4 linked regions of the Cricetulus griseus genome follow. The protein of the gene in region 2 interacts with the protein of the main gene of each other region in a pairwise test. Links are inferred from orthologs where the notes say so. Each region holds a gene or a part of one and is shown on either strand. Other genes may lie near its edges. The genes, in order: Rint1, CUNH1orf109, Ppp1r12c and Vps52.

Region 1 (5,569 bases), on a different chromosome or scaffold from region 2:
CTGGTAGCAGTTTTGTGTGGGTTTGTTGTCTGGGTTTTGTTTTGGCTTTGGTGCATGTAAGAGTTTTGTTTGTTTTCTTTTTTGTACTGTTTTAAGATCTTGTTATGTAGCCAGGCGGTGTTGGCCAATGCCTTTAATCCCAGCACTCGGGAGGCAGAGGCAGGCAGATTTCTGTGAGTTCGAGACCAGCCTGGTCTACAAGAGACTGAATCTAGGGCTTCATTTGTACTAAGCAAGAACTCTGCCACTGAGCTAAATCCTAACCTCAAACGTATCATTTTTTTAATTCCCCTATACATACTATATTTTTAAGTGGTATATCTGTCTATTTGGGGTTTTTTGCCTATTTTGTTTTTATGATATATAACAGCTTACGTTTATAATGTGCCTATTTGCTCATCATAGTTTTTACAGTGTAGTGGATATTTCACCATCGCATGGTTATCTAAGATCCTTATGAATGGCTTCTGTCATGAAATGTACTTTATGTACTTATACACAAGTATAAAGCCAAATGCATAGCTGTTATCTCAGTTTTAGAACATCTATGGATGTAGATAAACAGCACCCTGCCCAAGAAGTCAGCCCACAGGCCCTCTGAAATCACTTTAGTACTGGATCTAAAGTATCTAAGAGAAATTAACCAATGTTGAAACTATAAAGGCTTTTGTTGTTGTTTTGTGAGGGAGGATTTCATGTACCCCAGGCTAAACTTGAACTTCCTGTGCAGCTGAGGATAACCTAGAACTTCTGATTTTCCTGCCTCTACCTCCCATGTGCTGGTATCACAGACTTTGCCACATGCCCACTTTATGCTGTGTGGAATCAAACCCGGGGCTTATGCATAGGGGCAATGATTCTACAAACTGAGCCACAGCCTCAGTCCCTCAAGGCATATTTGAGTGGAATGCATACCAGAAAACCTGGTTACCATTACTTAGCTAACAGCCAATATATTTTGTTTAGATTAATAACAAGATTAAAACTTAAATGTGGCAGGGCGGTGGTGGCACACGCCTTTAGTCCCAGCACACAGAAGGCAGGTGGATCTCTGTGAGTTCGAGACCAGCCTGGTCTACAAGAGTTAGTTCCAGGACAGCCTCCAAAGCCACAGAGAAACGTTATCTTGAAAAAAAAAAAACCTTAAATGTTTGAACATATACTGCAGTGATTTGAATAAGGAGAGGGAGTCTGGAGTTAAAAGCACTTACTACTCTTTCACAGGACCCAGTAGTGTAAGAAGGAGAGAGAGTCTGGAGTTAAAAGCACTTTCTACTCTTTCACAGGATCCAGGTTCAGTGGCCAGCACCCACATGGTAGCTTACAACCCTCTGTAACTCCAGTTTGGGGGGATCTTCTAGCCTCTGTGGATACTGCACATATGAGGTACACACACTTACATGCAGTCAAAACACTAGCACACATTAAAAAAAAATCTTTAAAAAAAAAAACAGTAAGAGTGGCAGATACATAATGCACCCACCAGATGTGCCGGTGGGCAGGCCTGTACTGCATTTTCTTAATTATTCATGTAGGAAGTTCCAGCCCTTGTGGGTGGCATCACCCCTGGCTTGGTGGTCCTTGGTGCTATTTTAAAAAAGCAGACTGAGCAAGCAATGGAGAGCAATCCAATAAGCAACAGTCCTCTGTGACTTCTGCATCAGCTCCTGTCTCCATGTTCCTGCCCTGACTCCCTGGATGATGCACTACAAGTTGCTTTTGGTCACAGTGTTTTATTACAGCAACAGGAACCATAACTAAGATAGCCCTGTTTTGAAGATATCCAAAAGAGTCAAGTGTTAGGTTTTTTTCTTCTTTGCAGTGCTGGGAAATGAAACTAGGACTTTCCACCATGCTCTGCCACTGAACTCTACCACTGATTTAAATTTATTGATTTTGACATCATTATAAAATAATGACTTTTCTGTGTTAGCATTTAGCCTATTATTATTTCCAGAGTACAAAGCTGGAAGAGAAAAATGGTTCATGCCATATAGCTATTCATGGAAGTCTGTGTGTCTGTCTTTGTTTGCTTTGTTTCCTTTCTTTTGTTTGTTTTTGAAGTAGGACCTCAAGAAACTTAAGCTGGCCTGAAAGTCACTACATCACTAAGAATGACCTTGAGGCTCCTGATCCATATTTCCAAGTGCTGGGATTACAGCTAACCTAAGACACCTGATAGTTTTCTCCTTTATCTCTTTCTTTCTCTCAATCAATGGTCCTGGCAATTATATGCTCCTACTGAGCTATACCCCCAGCCCTCTAATGAGTGAAGTTATTAAATAACTAGTATTATTTAACTGTTTTAGATATGACTGAGATAAACCTTTATTCACATTTTCTAAATTTGGCATCATTATGCTTTTTGTCTAACATAATTTTTTTGCTTGCAACAGAGTCAATGTTTCAAATGTTAAAGATCACAGCACTAATACATTATTTATGGAAATATAAAAGCACATTAACTCACAACATTGTCAGCCCAGTCTGCCAGGACTGTTGAGATGTAGTTCACGGCATTAAGAATTGCACAGTATCGGAAGTCAAGTGGAGCCCTGGTCTCTTCTTTCATCACCTGGGTCAATCGTATCCTAAAGTCATCTACTAGGTCCTTCTGTAACTCCAGGAACTGCAGCTTTCGGGGGGCTGTGGGAAGATTCTTATACCTGTCTGTGGAGAACGTTTACAAAACACATGAAGGGGTTTGGCACTGTCACCACAGGTAGTTTTCCCTAAAGCTCTACTTTACTGTCTTTATGAAATATCTCAACTGACCATTTCTAAACTCTTAAGGATTACAAAGGTAAAACATGTCAGGACTCATCCAACAGTATACTTAAGAATACTTAAGATCTAGATCTGTGTGTTTTGCTATACATAAATCATGTCTCATTTTAAAAAAGCAAATTATGTTTTGAAACAACTGTTCCTTAAGCTAGTAGCTCTGGTGAGAAGGGCTTGAGAGCCCAGGCTGGCCTCCAATTTCATATGTAGCTACGAATGACTTTGAATCCCTGATTCTCTAGCCTCTACCTCTAAAATCCTGGTATTGGGATTAAAGGTATGCACCAAGATATCTGGCTATCCTTTTCTTTTTTCCAACAAAATATTTTTATTGATTATTTAGGAATTTCACATAATGCACCCAAGGTCCATTCCCACCATCTTTGTGACCCCCACCCACCAAAAAGAAAAAGAAGAAACAAAAAAACCAAAAACACACAAGTCCAATTTGTGTTGCCCATATACTCACTGGAGCATGTTCTCCCACATTCCTGCCAAAAGCCATCGATCAATTGTGGAAAACTACACTTCAACATCCTTATCACAATTTTTCCCCTTTTTTTTATTAGAAAGAAAATTATTTTACATGTCAATCCCAGGTCCCTCTCCCTCCCCCTCCTCCCCTGCCCCCCCAACTAATGCCCTACCTATCCCATACCCTTTCTGCTCCTCAGGGAGGGTGAGGCCTTCCATAGGGGGTCTTCAAAGCCTGTCATATTCTTTGAGATAGGGCCTAGGCCCACCCCCGTGTGTCTAGACTCAGGGAGTATCCCTCCATGTGGGATGGGCTCCCAAAGTCCATTCCTATGCTAGGGATAAGTACTGATCCACTACAAGGGCCCCATAGATTTCTGAGGTCTCCTCACTGACACCAACATTCAGGGGGTCTGGATCAGTCCCATGCTGGTTTCCCAGCTATCAGTCTGGAGACCATGAGCTCTCCCTTGTTCAGGTCAGCTGTTTCTGTGGGTTTCCCCAGCCTGGTCTGGACCCCTTTGCTCATCACTCCTCCTTCTCTGCAACTGGATTCCAATCCAGTGTTTAGCTGTGGGTGTCTGCTTCTACTTCCACCAGCTGCTAGATGAAGGCTGTACGATGGCATATGAATTAGTCATCAATCTCATTATCAGGAAAAGGCATTTAAGGTAGCCTCTCCTCTGTTGCTTAGATTGTTAGTTGGTGTCATCTTTGTAGCTCTCTAGACATTTCCCTAGTGCCTGATTTCTCTTTAAACTTATAATGTCTCCCTCTATTATATTATCTCTTATCTTGCTCTCTTCTGTTCTTCCCCCAACTCAACCTCCCTGTCCCATCATGTCTTCCTCACCCCTCCTCTTCTCCCCTTCTCATTCTCCTAGTTCCCTCTCCCCTCCTCCCATGCTCCCAATTTGCTCAGAAGATCTTGCCCCTTTCCCCTTCTCCAGGGGACTATGTATGTGTCTCTTAGGGTCCTCTTTGTTTACCAGCCTCTCTGGCAGCCTGGGCTACAGGCTGGCAATCCTTTACTCTATGTCTAAAATCCACATATGAGTGAGTACATACAATGTCTGTCTTTTCCTTATCACAATTTTAAGAGTTCTCTTTGATGGCTGACTATCTAGGCTGTTACTTTGTTGGGGGTGGGGTAGGGGGTGGGTAGGTGTTGTCACAAGCTCTCTATGACTCTCTTTCTCAACTGTGTGTCCACCATCAAAAGTAGCTTCCTTGCCTTTCACAGTCAGTGGGAGCACAGGTCATGGACTGCCATATGGTTTCTGGCAACAGCATGGACCATGGCCATCAACATGGCCTCATGGGGCAGTGCAGGCCACACATCAGCATCAAGCACAGGCCTCCAGTAGCAACCTGGACCACAGACACTAGCACGGGCCTCTGCATTAGCAGACTATGAACATACATCTGGCCTCCCCTGATAGCATGGACCTCAGTCATCAACATAGACCCCACCAGCAGCCCAGTCCATGGACATACACATGAACCTCAGGCTTCAACATGTCTGATTTCAAGATGCACTTCATATCTCCAATTCTGTTCAGTTTTATTGACTGTAACATACTTCTTTCTCTTGGGCTGGTTCCACTCCTGTTAGCAGTTCTCCTTGGCAGCTCTCCCACAACTTTTCTATCTCTAACCTCCTGGGTTCTCCAAGGCAATTCAGTCTTCAACTTCAGAGCTTTACTCAATGTCCTCTCTACTAGTCCTCTACTCAGTAACACTCCTGACACAAGCCTGGTCTCAGGGGCTTTCTTTAGCCTTGGAGGCAAATTCCATAACCCGTTTCTTCTATCCTTAACTGTAAAGCCACAACCATGTGGCCGACACTGCCAAGTTCTGCTGCTTACTGGGGCTGGAAGACGATCCCCTTGTTCAGTTACAAGTTCACCAGCTTTCTGTCTCTCACTGCATAAACTTGGCTGTCCTGAAACTTGCTCTCAGACCAGGCTGGCCTTAAACTCAGAGATTCGCCAGCTTCTGCCTTCCCAGTGCTGGGATTAAAGGTGTGCACCACCACACCTGGCTCTAAGCTTTTCTTTAGTTCCTTTTCACAAGTTGGAAACTTAGCGGGGTGGGATCTTGTCCTGAGATCACCACTCCCTATATTCCATTTCTTAATTGTTTATCTCCTAGAGCACAGGACTTAGCATCATTCTACTTCTGGCAGCCCTTTTCTCCTCAAATTGTTCTCCATCTTGTATTTTTCCTTGCTCAGCTTGCTCCTTTTTATTATAAATCTTTATAAGCACAGACACTAGTAAACACATGACAGAGTCAAAAGTAGGCTGCT
Region 2 (4,598 bases):
CGGGGGGAAAAAAAAAAAAAAAGTGGGTATATGTCACTATATTCACTAAAACAATGAAAAAAACAAAACTCAAAACTGTTGTTTCCTATGTCAGCTATATGCTGCTGTGGGAGGAAAGTTCCCTTAAGCATACATGATTTAAATAATTTTTCCACTTGCATGTGCCAGGAATCCAAGCACAGCTCTGCTGGCATTTTTAGCTCAGGTCCTTATGAGGCTAGGCTGTCATGTGGAGCTGTGGACCCGTCTAAAGGTTCAACCAGTGCAGGGAGGACATTTCCAAGCTCCTTCACATGGTGTTGTCCAGCACAGAACTCTCCCATGTCTCTCTACTAGGTGGAAATACGAAGTTTTGGCTGACGTCCCCAAAAGTGGGAGATGTAAGACAGAGCAAGGGGCAGCAGCCAAGACAGAAGTGTGCTCTTTATAGTCTATTCCCAGAAGTGACTCTCACTATTCTACCCATTAGCAGCGGAGCTACAGAGAGGCCCCCATCAAAAGGCAAGGAGTACACAAGGCCATGAATATTAGAGGTGGGGTCACCAGGGACCACTTCAGAGAATACCCACCATTCCAGAGACACCAGAGCACTTAGCAATGGCTGTCTGCAATGAAGAGAAGTGGGCAGATGGGGGAAAATTTTTCACTAAATATATCTGTGTACATTTTACACTTTAGGTTATGTGTACCTTATTCAACAAGTAAATCATATTTATTTTATCCAAAATAATGAAAAGGTTGTCATTTTAGGGACTGGAGAGCTGTCTCAGTGGTTTAGGGCACTTGCTGTTCTAGCAGAAGACTCAGGTTCAGTTCCCAGCACCCACATGGCAGCTTACAACCATCTATAGCTTTAGTTCTAGGAGATCCAAAGCCCTCCTCTGGCCTCCACAGGCATCAGGAACTTAAATGCATTCTTAGTAAAAGAAAAAAAGAGAAAAGATAGCATTTTTAGTAGAAAAACTAAGAGTGAAGAAAACAGCCAGGCTGTGATGGTGCACGCCTTTAATCTAAGCACTCAGGAGGCAGAAGCAGGTGGATCTCTGTGAATTTGAAGCCAGCCTGGTCTACAGAGTGAGTTCCAGGACAGATTCCAAAGCTACAGAGAAACCCTGAAACCCTGTGGGAAAAACAAAAAACAAATAAACAAAAGAGTGAAGAAAAAAAGAACAATTCTATTTAAGTAAGTTATTACCAAACACCATTAAGTATCTGTTTCAAACAAAACTAAACAAAGCCACTTTCTTTTTAAATGTATCCATCCTCTGTATTAAGTCCTGTTCATGGCAGCCTTGACTTCTACCAGCTGGGATCCCAAGGCAAGTGGCCACTGCACAGAGGGTGAGTATGGCTCTGATCAATGACTCAAGGCTGCTTCTCAGCTTATTTCCTGTTACTGTGTATGATGGCCAATCTTGGCTGTCAACTTGACCACAGCTGGAATCAACTAAAACCCAAAACCCACGCAACTGGGCATGTCTGTGAGGGATTTTCTTGACTGGATCATTAGGGGTGGGAAGACCCACCCTAAATCTGGATCATTTGAGGTGGGAAGACCCATCCCAAGTCTGGACCACATAAAAGCACATGGAAGAAGAAAGCTTTTGCATTAGGCTTGCCTGCCCTCCCTCTCACTCCAATATCCCCCTCCCTCCCTCTCTTCCCCCCCATATATATGTATGTATTCTATCAGTTCTGTTCCTTTAGAGAACCCTAAAACACAGACAAGTGCAACTGAAGGGAGAAAGGGTTTATTAGGCTCATAATTTGAGGGTACAGTCCATCATTGCAGAAACATCAAGGCTGCAAGCACTTGGAGCAGCTGGTCACATGACACCCATGGTAAAGAACAATGGATTAATGCATGTCTGCTAGTGCTCAGCCTGCTCTCTCATTCCATCTAGGGCCCAGCCATGAAATGACACCACATTCAGGATGGCTCTTTTCACCACAATTAAGAAAATTCTGCAGGCTTGCCTGCAGGCCACCCAAATCTACAACATTCCTTGTTGAGACTCCCTCCCCAGGTCAAACAATCAATCACAACTAACAATCAATGGCATATGCCAACTAATCAGCTGGCATATTTGCCTACCTGAGCAGTCACTCCAAACCCAGAAGAATATAGCCAATGAGAGGTCACAACCCTGGATCTGAGTAGTAGTATCACTCTTCTCAGTTAACTTCTTTCTTTCCCGCTTTTCTTTTTCCTTTTTTTTTCCTTTTTTTTTTTTTTTTTTTTTTTTTTTGAGACAGCACCTCAGTATGTAGTCTTGGTTAGTCTGGAGGCTATGTAGACCAGGATGATCTCAAAATCACAGAGCTCACCTGTATTTGCCTCACCAGTGGTGGGTTTGATATTCCCAGCACTAAGTTACTTTTTTTTTTTTAACTTTATTTAACTTATTTCTTTTATGTGCATTGGTGTGAAGGTGTCAGATCCCCTGGAGCTGGTGTTACAGACAGTTGTGAGCTGCCATGTGGGTCCTCAAAAGCAGCCAGTGTTCTTAATTGCTGAGCCATCTCTCCAGCCCCCCTCAGTTACTTTTAACAGCAACAGGGGACCTCTCCAGGACAAAGCATTCAGAACCGCTCACGCTGCACCATCTCCCCCTGGTGGCTGGCTTTGGAAATGGAAATTGGCTTGATTCCTACTGGGAAGGGATAAACATTTTAAATGCTCCCTTTCCTTCAATCCGTCCCTTTTTTGGATTGAATCGGGCTTCATGTGTGCAACACACACACTGCTACTGCCCTTCACTCCTAGACCCACTCCTATCTTTAAACCACTAAGGACTCAAGATAGTGATACACACATAACCAAGACCTGAGTCAACCAAAGTGCTTCAGCTGACGCAGAGGCGGAGGCAGCTGTGGACCTTTGCCTCCTGTCCTTTCCTTCCTTGCCACTTCAAGCCTACTGATAGCGATGGACACCGCTTATCAGCGCTGCCTTTCCTGTTTCCTCCACCCCATCCACCTCCCAGAGCCGCAGGTGCAGTGGTCATGGATCCTTGGCCATGGCCTAGCAAGAAGTCATGCTAGGGACCTCTACCATAGGAACTGGTGTCTCAGTCCATCAGGCTGTGGTGCTGAGGTTCACTTAGAAAGCTGAGGGCTGCACTCAACTGCGGGACTCCTGATCTCCAGACACTGTGCAGCATCCTGGCTCCTCCAGGAAGAAGGAGACGCTCACCAGGATATCTAGAACAGGAAGAGGGGTACAAGACAGGGTTATTAAGGCCCCAAAGCACAGCAGGGTTGTCTCTAACACCTCCAAAGAGGCAAGCAGCAACAGGGATAGGGAGGCAGCATGGGGAACTAATGGAAACCAGTACCTGGCACAAGGGTTTGGCACTCATCTTCTGAAATTTGGTTCCAGGCCTTAGGCAGTGCTTGGATGCTGGCCAAGTCTCCCCAGTGGATGGAGGAAAGGAGGTATTTTCTCTTCAGGTACCTTCCCAGAAGTTAAGGACTGTTCAAAAAAAGGAAATCTGGGAAGCTAAAAGTGACATCAATATACCTTCCCAGGTGGGCAGGGTTCACCAGTGCCAAGAGGAATGATGAGCACCAGTACCGCAGTACAACTTGATGCTACTAGGAAAGGGACTCGGATCTCACAGGCTGAGGGTGGACCAGACAGAAGAGCAAAGTGACTTGAAAGATAAAACTCAGTGACAGGGGACTGGAGTGATGGCTCAGTGGTTAAAAGCATCGACTGCTCTAACAGAGAACACAAGTTCCCAGCACCCACATGGCAGCTAACAGCTATCTGTAACTTCAAGATCTGAGACATACATGGTTATTAAGACATACATGCCGGCAAAATACACAGACATACATGCAGGCAAAACACCAATGCACATAAAATAAAAGTAAATACATTATTAAAAAAATAACAAAACAAAACAACTCAGTGGCAGTTCTAGTCAGCTGTAGAGGCCCACGCCTTTAATCCCAGCACTATTTAGAGAAATCAAAATGGTAACAAACACAAAAACAAAAGTCTGGCAGTTCAGATGAACACACCACTGGAAGAAACAGAGAAACAAAGGCACAGGGCAGAGGAAGCATGGAGTGGACTGGCACTGCAAGCCTCCCAGTGTCCTGACACGGTTGGCTAAAGTAGAAAGTAGTTGAAAGGTGGCTTCAGCCAGTATAAAGGCAGCAGTGGAGGACAAGGTAGGGATTCTGAGCCCTACCCCACCAGCAACAGAAGAGCTGACAACTCCTGGTTGAACACAACTAGACCTAGACCTCATGAAGATGACTGTGGTACATAACCACAGACAGCTCAGAGAGAGAATCTGGAGATAGAGGAAAGTCAGGAGGGGATACAGGATTAAGCATCCATGCCAGGGGCTGCCAAGATGGTTCACTGGGTGAAGGTGCTTGCTGCCAAATCCAATGAACTAAATGGGAGCCATATGGTGGAAGGAGAGAACCCATTCTGTTAAGTTATCCTCTGACCTCCTCATGAATGCTAAGCATAAGCCTTGGCCACACTATTCTGCTTAAAATCTTCTGAGAACATTCATCTCAAAAGAACAGCCAAAACCCAGCTGGGCGTTGGTGGCGCAAGCCTTTAATCCCAGCAT
Region 3 (5,569 bases), on a different chromosome or scaffold from region 2:
TCCTTGTAGCTTCGGAACCAAAAGGAAGCCTCTCAGAGCCGAGGCCAAGAGCCACAGGTGCCCTCCAACAGCAAGCACAGAAGGTAAGAGATGCCTAGGCCTGGGGTGGGTCGGACTCGCCCCCAGACTTGGACACGGACACCCTGTCCTCCTAGGAGCTCCGTGTGTCGTTTGAGCAGCCGTGAGAAGATCTCCCTGCAGGATCTGTCGAAGGAGCGCCGGCCTGGTGGGGCCGCGGGCCCCTCTCTTGGGGATGAGGATGAGGGAGAAGAAGAGGCAGCTGGTAGGGATGCTGGACCCTGGGTCTGAGGAAGGAGCTGGACTTGTGGGTCCCCAATCTCAGAGGCGGCCGGCCTCTCCTGTGACCCCCCTCTCCTGTTCCTGCACACAGATCACCCTCCTGTGCAACCAAGAGCCCTCAATGGCGTGTCTTCTCCTGTGTCCTCCAGCCCCAAGAGCCCTGTGGTGAGCCTGAGCGCCCTGAGCAGATGTGAGGTTTGGGGCAGCGGGTGGGATACGGTAAATACTTCTGCTTCCGCTGAGGAAGGTGGCTTTTTGACTTGGTTCTTAGGTCCTTGTGGACCAAGAAGTAATGTTTTTTTTTTTTTTTTTTTGGTGGCACCTGCCTGGGCTGTGGTTTACTGTAATTCTCCTGGAGTTACACTCTTAGGCTCTGAAGAGAAGGGTCATTGCTTTGGCTGTGGTTTACTGTAATTCCCCTGGAGCTACACGCGTAGGCTCTGAGGAGAAGGGCCATTGCTTTGGCTGTGGTTTACTGTGATTCTCCTGGAGTTACACGCGTAGGCTCTGAGGAGGAGGGTCATTGCTTTGGCTGTGGTTTACTGTAATTCCCCTGGAGTTACACGCGTAGGCTCTGAGGAGAAGGGTCATTGCTTTGCTCAGTAATGAAGACCTTCTTCCTCTCCCAGCCGCCAGAAGAGGCTCCCTTCTCCAGGCGCGGCGGTCTCCAGAAGACAGGAAGCTCTGGTGCCCTGGGTCCCTCAGAGAGGAGGGGTGCAGAGGGGGTTCTCGGTCTGCAGCGCTCAGCCTCCTCCTCCCTCCTAGAAAAGGCCTCCTCTCAGGTAGGTGCCGTGAAGTGTGTGGGGTACAGGCTCCTGCCTTGGGGCAGACAGTGCCTCCTTTGCTTCTCTCCTGTCTCCACAGGCCAGGGAACCCCGTCTTGCCAGAATAACCCCTACCCCTGCCCAGAAAGTGCCAGAGCCCTCTACCCTGTAAGTACCAGTGGCTGGGGCAGGGGCACAGGTCTGGTGCCATCCTGGCATTTGAGATCTGAGAAAGCCCTTAGGGTGCATCAAATAATTGCTTATTCTCTTTATTTTTTCCAAGCACCTTTTCTCCCCAAGCTCCACACTGGTCTCTTTGGCTGCTGTTTGTTTTATCTGTTTTGCCCAGAAATGGCTCATCAGCAGCCATGATTGGCTCCTTCTCTGTGGTCTCTCCTATGCCTGACACAGAATGCGGGCTTGAGGAATATTTGCTGATGAATGAATGAATCCATACAGGTGTGAGGCTGCCATGCCTCCTTCTTCGGATCACTCCGCCCCATCCTCCAGGAGGGAGCCTGGATCCCCAGTGAAGCCAAATGCCCTCGTAGCCTCTGCAGCAGCCCTACCTGACTCCAGGGATCGGCGGAGGTAAAGAGGCTAGGGGAAGACAGTGTTTAGGGGTCTCTGGGGCTCTGGGTAGGCTCCTGGGGTCCTGTTTGCCCAGTTGACACGTTCTCTGCCAGAATGTGCACTCCCCTAAGGTGTCATTCACAGTGCGACAGCACCCAAGGGGACATTCTCCACTCAGGTCCTACCAGATGCCTGTGCGTGATGAAGAGTCCGAGTCTCAGCGGAAGGCTCGCTCCCGCCTTATGCGCCAGTCTCGGAGGTCTACACAGGTGTGGGATGGGGCTGGGGCTGTGCTCCCGGGTCTGAGGGAGGAGGGCCGGGGTCTTGAACTTGAGTCCTGTGGAAGTCTAGGCCCTTTTTCCTTGACCGAGTTCTCTACACTAGGGCGTGACCTTGACAGACTTGAAGGAAGCAGAGAAGGTGGCAGGGAAGGCTCCAGAGCCAGAGCAGCCTGCCCTGCCCAGCCTGGTGAGCAGGGTCAGGTGAACTGGGGCGGGTGGACCCGTCTCCCTGTTTCTGACTGTGCTCCTCCCCGGCAGGACCCTTCTCGGAGACCTCGGGTCCCTGGCGTGGAGAACGCTGAGGGCCCTGCCCAGAGAGGTGAGGTCGGCTTTCTGGGAAGTCGCTCCCCAAGGAGCCATCCTGTCTCCCCATAAAGTGTCTTTGTTCACTGGGGGCTAAGTCAGGTTCCCTGCACAGTAGACAGGGGCCCCTATGGTGGTGTCTGAGCTGATTCCCACTGGTTCCCCAGCAGAGGCGCCCGACGGGCAGGGCCAGGGACCACAGGCGGCCAGGGAGCATCGAAAGGTCGGCCACGAGCGAAGGGGGCCCGCAGAGGTGAGGATGCTGTGTGGAGGCCGGGCGGGCTGGAGGGAGGGGCCGCAGAGGTGAGGATGCTGTGTGGAGGCCGGGCGGGCTGGAGGGAGGGGCCGCAGAGGTGAGGATGCTGCTGTGTGGAGGCGGGGCGGGCTGGAGGGAGGGGCCGCGGAGGTGAGGATGCTGTGTGGAGGCGGGGCGGACTGGAGGGAGGGGCGCGGAGGTGAGGATGCTGCTGTGTGGAGGCCGGGCGGCCTGGAGGGAGGGGCCGCAGAGGTGAGGATGCTGTGTGGAGGCCGGGGCGGGCTGGAGGGAGGGGCCGCGGAGGTGAGGATGCTGTGTGGAGGCCGGGCTGGAGGGAGGGGTCGCGGAGGTGAGGATGCTGCTGTGTGGAGGCGGGCGGCTGGAGGGAGGGGCCGCAGAGGTGAGGATGCTGCTGTGGAGGCCGGGGCGGGCTGGAGGGAGGGGCCGCGGAGGTGAGGATGCTGTGTGGAGGCGGGCGGGCTGGAGGGAGGGGCCGCGGAGGTGAGGATGCTGTGTGGAGGCGGTGTGGAGGTGAGGATGCTGCTGTGTGGAGGCGGCGGCTGGAGGGAGGGGCCGCAGGTGGTGCTGTGTGGAGGCGGGGCGGGCTGGAGGGAGGGGCCGCGGAGGTGAGGATGCTGCTGTGGAGGCGGGCGGGCTGCTGAGGCTGCCGCGGAGGTGAGGATGCTGTGTGGATGGAGGTGAGGATGCTGTGAGGCGGGGCGGCTGGAGGGAGGGCCGCGGAGGTGAGGATGCTGTGTGGAGGCCGGGGCGGGCTGGAGGGAGGTGGAGGTGAGGATGCCAGGTGAGGATGCTGCAGGGCTGAGGATGCCTGGAGGTGAGGATGCTCTGTGAGGATGCTGTGTGGAGGCCGGGTGGGCTGGAGGGAGGGCCGCGGAGGTGAGGATGCTGCTGTGTGGAGGCCGGGCGGGCTGGAGGGAGGACGTTGCATGGAGACTGAACTCTCAGGGCTCTTCTGCAGGGGGAGGAGGCGGGGCCGGCAGAACGGAGCCTGGAGTGCAGGTAGGCCGGGTCATGCGTGGGGGCTGGGGCACCCCTCGGGCAGGGCCTGGGCCCTAAGGCCTGTGGCTTCTGTCCAGCACCGTGGATGGCGGCTCCACTGCCCGTAGACAGCGTTTGCAGAGAGACCTCAATCCAGAATCCAAGCAGGAACAGGAAGAACCCGATGGAAGCTTCCGGAAGGTGCCGCATGCTACCTCCTGCCCCACCCCACCCTGTCCTGGCCCCTTCCCGGGCCCTTCTGAGCCTGCCTGCTTCCTCTGTGTCCCTAGCTGTACATGGAGCTTCGGAGGGAGAACGAGCGGCTTCGTGAGGCCCTGACAGAGACCACCCTGCGGCTGGCACAGCTCAAGGTGGAGCTTGAGCGGGCCACGCAGGTGCAGATACTGAGACCTAAGAACCAGCTGTTGGGGGCAGTGGGAGTCAGAGCTCCAGTGGCAAGGGGCCTGGCCGTGGCTGGGAGGTTGGAGGTCCCCCACCCCGGGGGGGGGGCAGGGCTCTGATGTCCTAGGGGTAAGAAGCAGCTCCTGACGCCCAGTCTTCTCTGCCCTTACCAGCGGCAGGAACGCTTTGCCGAGAGGCCCGCCCTCCTGGAGCTGGAGAGATTCGTGAGTTTGGGCCGCTGGGGTGGTGTCCCGCCCTTGCCCTGTCCCCTGCCCTTACCCTGCTTCTGAGCCCAGCCCATTCCTGCAGGAGCGCAGGGCCCTGGAGCGCAAGGCCGCAGAGCTGGAGGAGGAGCTGAAGGTAACGAGCTTGTGAAGGGCGGTGGCCAGAGCCCACCCTGCCCCGCCCTGCCCAGCTGACTCCACCCTGCCCCCTAGGCCCTGTCCGACCTCCGCGCTGACAACCAGCGGCTCAAGGATGAGAATGCAGCACTGATCCGCGTCATTAGCAAGCTCTCCAAGTGACTCTGCAGGGGCTCCCGCACCGTATTTATACAGCTGCTTTTGACACACGCACCCCTTCCCCCGAGTGAACATGAGTGACAGGGCTCCGGGGGAAGTTGTTGAGAAGCCATAACCTCCTCTCGGGACCTCAGAACCCGGAGGAAAGCACAGAGTCCCCAGAACCAGGGTGGAGGTGGGAGGCTGAGCCAGGTAGGGAAATGTTGCCGAGAGTGGGCAGGCACCAGAGATGGGACCAGGAAGGAAGCAAGGACCAAGGAAGCCAGGATCAGTATCCAGGAGCAGAGTGGCTGCCCCGGGCCCACCTCACGTGTGATGCTACCCAGTATCCCTTCCCTCCCCAGCAGGGATCCAGGAATGTGCCAAGAGCCCCACTGGCCTCTGCCAGGTGGGCCTGTATATAGGGTCCGTGTGCAATAGGGAGGGTTGTCTTCTATTTTTGCTGCCTCCTTCCCACCCATTGTCTGGGGAGGGGGAGAAGGTATTTTTGAGACAAAGCACAGGCACCACAAATAAAGTCGTGACATTGCCACTCAGTGACTTGTCTCCCCCTGGGTGTGGGGCACTGGTTCCTGCTTGTATACTCAGCCTGTGTATCTGACTGAAACCGCTCATCCATTTGGATGAGGGCCAGTGGGTGGCTGGGAGCTTGCTCACAGGTGTGGGGAGGGGAGTTTGCTCGAGTGAGCAGCTGGAGAGAAAGAGCCCCAGGTGAGGTAGGGGGGGTCAGAAGGAAGCCTGTGACCTGATCCGGGTGCTCACATTGACCCTCAGTGCTTTGGAAGTGAGCGGAGTCAGTGGCTTAACATTGAAAAGGTAGGATGGCCAACATAGGAAACTGCAAGTCTAGGTTTTCTGGGAAAGGAGTAGGTGATGGTAAGTAGTCCTTCGTGGCCACAGTGACTGGGGCAGAGCCAGGAATCAGTCTTGAGATGGATCGCGTGGTGCCTCCTCCATCCTGACAGTCAGGAATGGGCTGTTCTGCCAGCTGGCGTCACAGGAGTGAACAGCTTGGTCCAGCAGCCAGTGCACTGAGGAAGGTTGCCACTGTGTGGATTTCAGCTACAGTGCTGTGGAGAAGGGGAGAGTGCGGAGTGTGTGTGTGTGTGTGTGTGTGTGTGTGTGTGTGTGTGGTGGTGTGCCATGCTGTCTGAGGTGAACTGTGTATAT
Region 4 (5,569 bases), on a different chromosome or scaffold from region 2:
TGCCTGATTTCTCTGTAAACCTAAAATGTCTCCCTCTATTATGGTGTCTCCATTCTTGTTATCTTCTATTCTTCCCCTGACTCAGCCTTTCTGCTCCCACATCTCTCTCTTTTCCCCCTTCTCATTCTCCTAGCTCCCTCCCCCGTGTGTCAGGATCTTTGACCCACTAACTATGGCTCCCCTGAAAAAGCGCCCTCAACCCACTTTCAGGAGCAGGGATATGCCCTTGTTTTTTTTCTAGCGTTTCTTTCTGTATCTCGCACTCACTAATCTGTCCCTCTTCAGGGGGGTGTTTCTGGTCTCCAAGAGCCCCTGCAACTTGGGGAGTTGGATATCACCTCTGATGAATTCATCCTGGATGAAGTGGATGGTAAGTGGTGGCATGGGGTGGGGGCAAAGTAGCCAGCCCCCTTTATCCTTTAGGAATATAGTAGAGGACCCCCACTAGGTGACCCCCCATACTAACCCCTGCATGTTTTTTACTAATGTAGTGTAAAGTTGAATGAGAAGGGTTACTTTCTAATTTAGGCATAGCAAGAGTGGGGTAATGATGCAGCCCACTGTGATAAATTGCTGCATTGACAGTCTTGCTCTTTGGGATTATTAAGAAAAAACAAAGTGTGTATTTGAACATGGACATGTGCAGACAGCCAGTCTGATCTCTGGGACACTCGTACCACACACACACCATAGATTCATCCAGCAAAGAAAATCCAAATAAATCCAAGGCGGGTGAGAGGCCCTTCAGCTTCTCAGAGTGCCACACACTTTAAAGCCTCCGAGCCACGATTGGGAATTCCCATTTAATATTTTTGGCTTGTGGTTGACTAGACTATGAGGAACTGAAACAGCAGAAAGTCAAAGCGACTGTTCTTTTACCTTGAGAGGATGGGGGCTGGAAGGAAAGGGGAGATTGGTGTGCGGGTACCTGATGCTGGCAGAGGGGGGCGTGGCGCCGGACCCTAGTGATGAATGTCTGTTTCCAGTTCACATTCAGGCAAATCTGGAGGATGAGTTAGTGAAGGAAGCCCTCAAAACGGTGAGGTTCTCCGCTATGCCGATCTGTCCCCGCCCTCCTCTCCTCGGGGTCTTATGTGTCCCCTCTAGCCAGTCACTGAGTCTGTTCTGGTGTCCTTTCACTGTGGCTTCATCCTGACTGTTCCTGGTTTCCCCCAGGGTGTGGATCTGCGACACTATTCCAAGCAGGTGGAGCTGGAGCTGCAGCATATTGAGCAGAAATCCATCCGGGACTGTATCCTCCGCACAGGGGAAGACACGCGCTGTCACTGACCTGGGGTGTGTGGGACCCCGGGACTGTATCCTCCGCAGAGGGGAGACACGCGCTGTCACTGACCTGGGGTGTGTGGGACCCCGGGACTGTATCCTCCGCAGAGGGGAGACACGCGCTGTCACTGACCTGGGGTGTGTGGGACCCCGGAACTGTATCCTCCGCAGAGGGGAGACACGCGCTGTCACTGACCTGGGGTGTGGGACCCCGGGACTGTATCCTCCCCACAGGGGAAGACACGCGCTGTCACTGACCTGGGCTGTGGGACCCCGGGACTGTATCCTCCACAGAGGGGAAGAGAGCGCTGTCACTGACCTGGGGTGTGGGACCCCAGGACTGTATCCTCCGCACAGGGGAAGACACGCGCTGTCACTGACCTGGGGTGTGGGACCCCGGGACTGTATCCTCCGCAGAGGGGAGACACGCGCTGTCACTGACCTGGGGTGTGTGGGACCCCGGGACTGTATCCTCCGCAGAGGGGAGACACGCGCTGTCACTGACCTGGGGTGTGGGACCCCGGGACTGTATCCTCCCCACAGGGGAAGACACGCGCTGTCACTGACCTGGGCTGTGGGACCCCGGGACTGTATCCTCCGCAGAGGGGAAGAGAGCGCTGTCACTGACCTGGGGTGTGGGACCCCAGGACTGTATCCTCCGCACAGGGGAAGACACGCGCTGTCACTGACCTGGGGTGTGGGACCCCGGGACTGTATCCAACGCACAGGGGAAGACACGCGCTGTCACTGACCTGGGGTGTGGGAGCTGTGATGCAGGTAACCCGGTAGGGTGGCATCTCTCTCGGTCCCTTTGGGGACACTAGGGGGAGGCGATGCTGGTCCTCAGAGCTCTGTGTTCACTGTGAAGCCCTTGACTTTTGTGGGTCAGACATCCAAGAGAGTGAAAACATAGCGTCCCTGCACAATCAGATCACAGCCTGCGACGCTGTCCTGGAGGTAGGTGTCCCTCCCCTGTGGCCCCTGACACCCTCTGTTTTTTTTTTTGTTTTGTTTTGTTTTTTTGTTTTGTCAGCACTTTTGTTTCCTTGGGCAAATGGAGGTTTTCCATGCTCCTGAGCTGTTGGATACTGGGGTATTCACTCAGACACTTGGGTGACACACTTGTCCCTGCCAACCCTGTGGCATGCCTACAGTGTTTTCTGCCCTTCCCATAGCGCATGGAGCAGATGCTGGGAGCTTTTCAGAGCGACCTGAGCTCCATCAGCTCTGAGATCCGGACCCTTCAGGAGCAGTCAGGAGCCATGAACATCCGTCTTCGTAATCGACAAGCTGTTCGGGGGAAGCTTGGGGAACTTGTAGATGGGCTGGTGGTGCCCTCTACTCTGGTCACGTGAGTCGATGGTTTGAAGGGTCGTGATGTCCAGAGCAGGTGGTTGAGCTGGGGTACCTATCCAGTCTACAACATAGGTCCAGGCTGAGGTTGTCAAGTGCTGTTTAGGTACCAGGTGTGCTGGCTCAAGCCTGTAAGCACACGATTGGGAGGTCAGGCAGGGGGATTGCTGCAAGTCACCAGCCTGGGCCACAGAGTGGGACCTTCTAAAAAAAAAAGGTGCATTCTAGAGATTAATGGATGGATTATAATGTCAGATGTGTATCGGGGCCTGTGGAGAGGTGGGGCTCAGGAGTTGAAATCTTCGTACCTATGATGAAGGTATGAGACTGAGGAGAGGTAGACATGTCAGGAGGGGTGTGGCTTGCGTCTGTTTCAGGACTGTCGAGTGCCCCTTCAGATCACCCCTCTCCTCCCTGCTCTGCAGAGCCATTCTGGAAGCTCCAGTGACAGAGCCCAGGTTTCTGGAACAGCTGCAGGAACTGGACGCCAAGGCAGCTGCGGTCAGAGAGCAGGAGGCCAGAGGCACAGCGGCCTGCGCAGACGTCAGAGGCGTGCTGGACCGGCTCCGGGTCAAGGTGGGGAGGGGACCGCTAGAATCAACCCCAGGAACTCACTCTGCTCCCCTCAGTGCGGGGCATCGTTGGCCCTCTGGTTTCCCTGAAAATCTACAGAGGCTGGAGCTGTGGCTCAGCGGGTAGTGGGCTTGCTTAGGGCGCCCGAAGCCCTGGGATCCACCCCCAGCTCTGCAAACATGGGCATGGTGGCCCTTGTCTACTGTGCTAGAACTCATGAGATGACAGGAAGAAGATCTGAAGCTTCAGAGTGATCTCTGCGGCACAGGGCGTTGTGGGCTTTTACTGTGAGGAAGGAAGGAAGGAGGTGACAGACAGGACCGTGGAGGGGAGGGAGAGAATACTTCCGGTGTGTACAGAGGTACATGAGACTCTGTCTCAAAACCAAACAGTGCTGGCTTTGGCAGCATAGAAACTCAAATTAGAGCACTACAGAGAAGATTAGCATGGCCTCTGTGTAAGGACACAAAAATTGATAAAGCATTCCATATTTAAAAGGGAAAAAAGAAACAGATAACCTGAAAATGTGAGGCCAGGCATGGTGGTAAGACATTTTAGCCCTAGCACTGGGGAGGGAGAGGCAGATGGACCTGTGTGAGTTCCAGGACAGCCTGGACTACACACAGAAACCCCGACTCAACAAAAGTAAATAAATAATAACACAGCACACATCGGAAGTATTCTCTCCCTCCCCTTCGCCGTCACGTCTGTCTCCTCCTTCCTCCACACAGTAAGAGCCCACAACATCATGACCTGTTTGTCCCCTCACCTAGGCGGTGACGAAGATCCGAGAGTTCATCCTCCAGAAGATTTATTCATTCAGAAAGCCGATGACCAACTATCAGATCCCCCAGACGGCCCTGCTGAAGTACAGGTCGCCACCCCGGGACGGCCTGTGAGCTTCTTAACGGCCCAGCATGGATGTCCAGGGTCTGACTCGCCCTGGCCCTTCCAGGTTCTTCTATCAGTTCCTGTTGGGCAACGAGCGAGCAACAGCCAAGGAGATCAGGGATGAGTACGTGGAGACGCTGAGCAAGATCTACCTGTCTTACTTCCGCTCCTATCTGGGGCGGCTCATGAAAGTGCAGGTGAGCCAGGCAGGGACAGGCGGGGACAGGTGTCTGTAGGCAGGGGCTTGGAGGAGGGACTGAGTTCCTCACCTGCTGGTGGTGGGCAGCCATGGTTGAGCTCTCTGTTGTTTTCTCTAGTACGAGGAAGTTGCTGAGAAGGACGATCTGATGGGTGTGGAAGACACAGCAAAGAAAGATATCCTGGACCAGGGAGCCTCGCGTCAGGCTCACCTCCCTCAAGTCAGGCTCCACCTCCCTCAAGTCAGGCTCCACCTCCCTCAAGTCAGGCTCCACCTCCCTCAAGTCAGGCTCCACCTCCCTCAAGTCAGGCTCCACCTCCCTCAAGTCAGGCTCCACCTCCCTCAAGTCAGGCTCCACCTCCCTCAAGTCAGGCTCCACCTCCCTCAAGTCAGGCTCCACCTCCCTCAAGTCAGACTCCACCTCCCTCAAGTCAGACTCCACCTCCCTCAAGTCAGGCTCCACCTCCCTCAAGTCAGGCTCCACCTCCCTCAAGTCAGGCTCCACCTCCCTCAAGTCAGGCTCCACCTCCCTCAAGTCAGGCTCCACCTCCCTCAAGTCAGGCTCCACCTCCCTCATGTCAGGCTCCACCTCCCTCAAGTCAGGCTCCACCTCCCTCAAGTCAGGCTCCACCTCCCTAATTCAGGCTCCACCTCCCTCAAGTCAGGCTCCACCTCCCTCAAGTCAGGTTCACCTCCCTCAAGTCAGGCTCCACCTCCCTCAAGTCAGGCTCCACCTCCCTCAAGTCAGGCTCCACCCCTCTCAAGTCAAGCTCCACCTCCCTCAAGTCAGGCTCCACCTCCCTCAAATCAGGCTCCACCTCCCTCAAGTCAGGCTCCACCTCCCTCAAGTCAGGCTCCACCTCCCTCAAGTCAGGCTCCACCTCCCTCAAGTCAGGCTCCACCTCCCTCAAGTCAGGCTCCACCTCCCTCAAGTCAGGCTCCACCTCCCTCAAGTCAGGCTCCACCTCCCTCAAGTCAGACTCCACCTCCCTCAAGTCAGACTCCACCTCCCTCAAGTCAGGCTCCACCTCCCTCAAGTCAGGCTCCACCTCCCTCAAGTCAGGCTCCACCTCCCTCAAGTCAGGCTCCACCTCCCTCAAGTCAGGCTCCACCTCCCTCAAGTCAGGCTCACCTCCCTCAAGTCAGGCTCACCTCCTGTCAGGCTCACAGTGGGGATGCCTGGCTCCAGCCCACAGGCCTCTGCTTACCCTGTGTCTGGGATGTAACCTTTGAGGATGTGAGAGAGAGCGAGAGCTCCCCTCCCAGAGG

What was found.
Region 1: the proteins of CUNH1orf109 (region 2) and Rint1 interact in binary tests that used the Homo sapiens proteins (3 or more experiments, as listed by UniProt). The two-hybrid records come from large-scale screens. The link is inferred for Cricetulus griseus from reciprocal best matches to the Homo sapiens genes AIRIM and RINT1.
Region 3: the proteins of CUNH1orf109 (region 2) and Ppp1r12c interact in binary tests that used the Homo sapiens proteins (3 or more experiments, as listed by UniProt). The two-hybrid records come from large-scale screens. The link is inferred for Cricetulus griseus from reciprocal best matches to the Homo sapiens genes AIRIM and PPP1R12C.
Region 4: the proteins of CUNH1orf109 (region 2) and Vps52 interact in binary tests that used the Homo sapiens proteins (3 or more experiments, as listed by UniProt). The two-hybrid records come from large-scale screens. The link is inferred for Cricetulus griseus from reciprocal best matches to the Homo sapiens genes AIRIM and VPS52.

The regions. Positions count from the first base shown.
Region 1 is NW_023276806.1:170,798,336-170,803,904, forward strand, and holds part of Rint1 (RAD50-interacting protein 1), read right to left. Parts: intron 2,671-5,569; coding exon 2,471-2,670; intron 1-2,470. UniProt on the Homo sapiens protein: Involved in regulation of membrane traffic between the Golgi and the endoplasmic reticulum (ER); the function is proposed to depend on its association in the NRZ complex which is believed to play a role in SNARE assembly at the ER.
Region 2 is NC_048595.1:28,110,560-28,115,157, forward strand, and holds the end of CUNH1orf109 (uncharacterized protein C1orf109 homolog), read right to left. Parts: intron 3,458-4,598; coding exon 3,339-3,457; intron 3,205-3,338; coding exon 3,125-3,204; 3' UTR 1,736-3,124; downstream 1-1,735. UniProt on the Homo sapiens protein: Part of the 55LCC heterohexameric ATPase complex which is chromatin-associated and promotes replisome proteostasis to maintain replication fork progression and genome stability.
Region 3 is NC_048602.1:23,163,805-23,169,373, reverse strand, and holds the end of Ppp1r12c (protein phosphatase 1 regulatory subunit 12C), read left to right. Parts: intron 1-9; coding exon 10-83; intron 84-155; coding exon 156-283; intron 284-391; coding exon 392-465; intron 466-929; coding exon 930-1,082; intron 1,083-1,164; coding exon 1,165-1,232; intron 1,233-1,523; coding exon 1,524-1,655; intron 1,656-1,815; coding exon 1,816-1,906; intron 1,907-2,021; coding exon 2,022-2,105; intron 2,106-2,176; coding exon 2,177-2,237; intron 2,238-2,388; coding exon 2,389-2,474; intron 2,475-3,456; coding exon 3,457-3,497; intron 3,498-3,574; coding exon 3,575-3,677; intron 3,678-3,766; coding exon 3,767-3,871; intron 3,872-4,051; coding exon 4,052-4,102; intron 4,103-4,187; coding exon 4,188-4,238; intron 4,239-4,315; coding exon 4,316-4,402; 3' UTR 4,403-4,935; downstream 4,936-5,569. UniProt on the Homo sapiens protein: Regulates myosin phosphatase activity.
Region 4 is NW_023276806.1:232,053,506-232,059,074, reverse strand, and holds part of Vps52 (vacuolar protein sorting-associated protein 52 homolog), read left to right. Parts: intron 1-285; coding exon 286-370; intron 371-986; coding exon 987-1,039; intron 1,040-1,176; coding exon 1,177-1,252; intron 1,253-2,173; coding exon 2,174-2,241; intron 2,242-2,459; coding exon 2,460-2,635; intron 2,636-3,062; coding exon 3,063-3,213; intron 3,214-3,601; exon of another isoform or gene 3,602-3,705; intron 3,706-3,983; coding exon 3,984-4,084; intron 4,085-4,165; coding exon 4,166-4,298; intron 4,299-4,418; coding exon 4,419-4,476; intron 4,477-5,569. UniProt on the Homo sapiens protein: Acts as a component of the GARP complex that is involved in retrograde transport from early and late endosomes to the trans-Golgi network (TGN).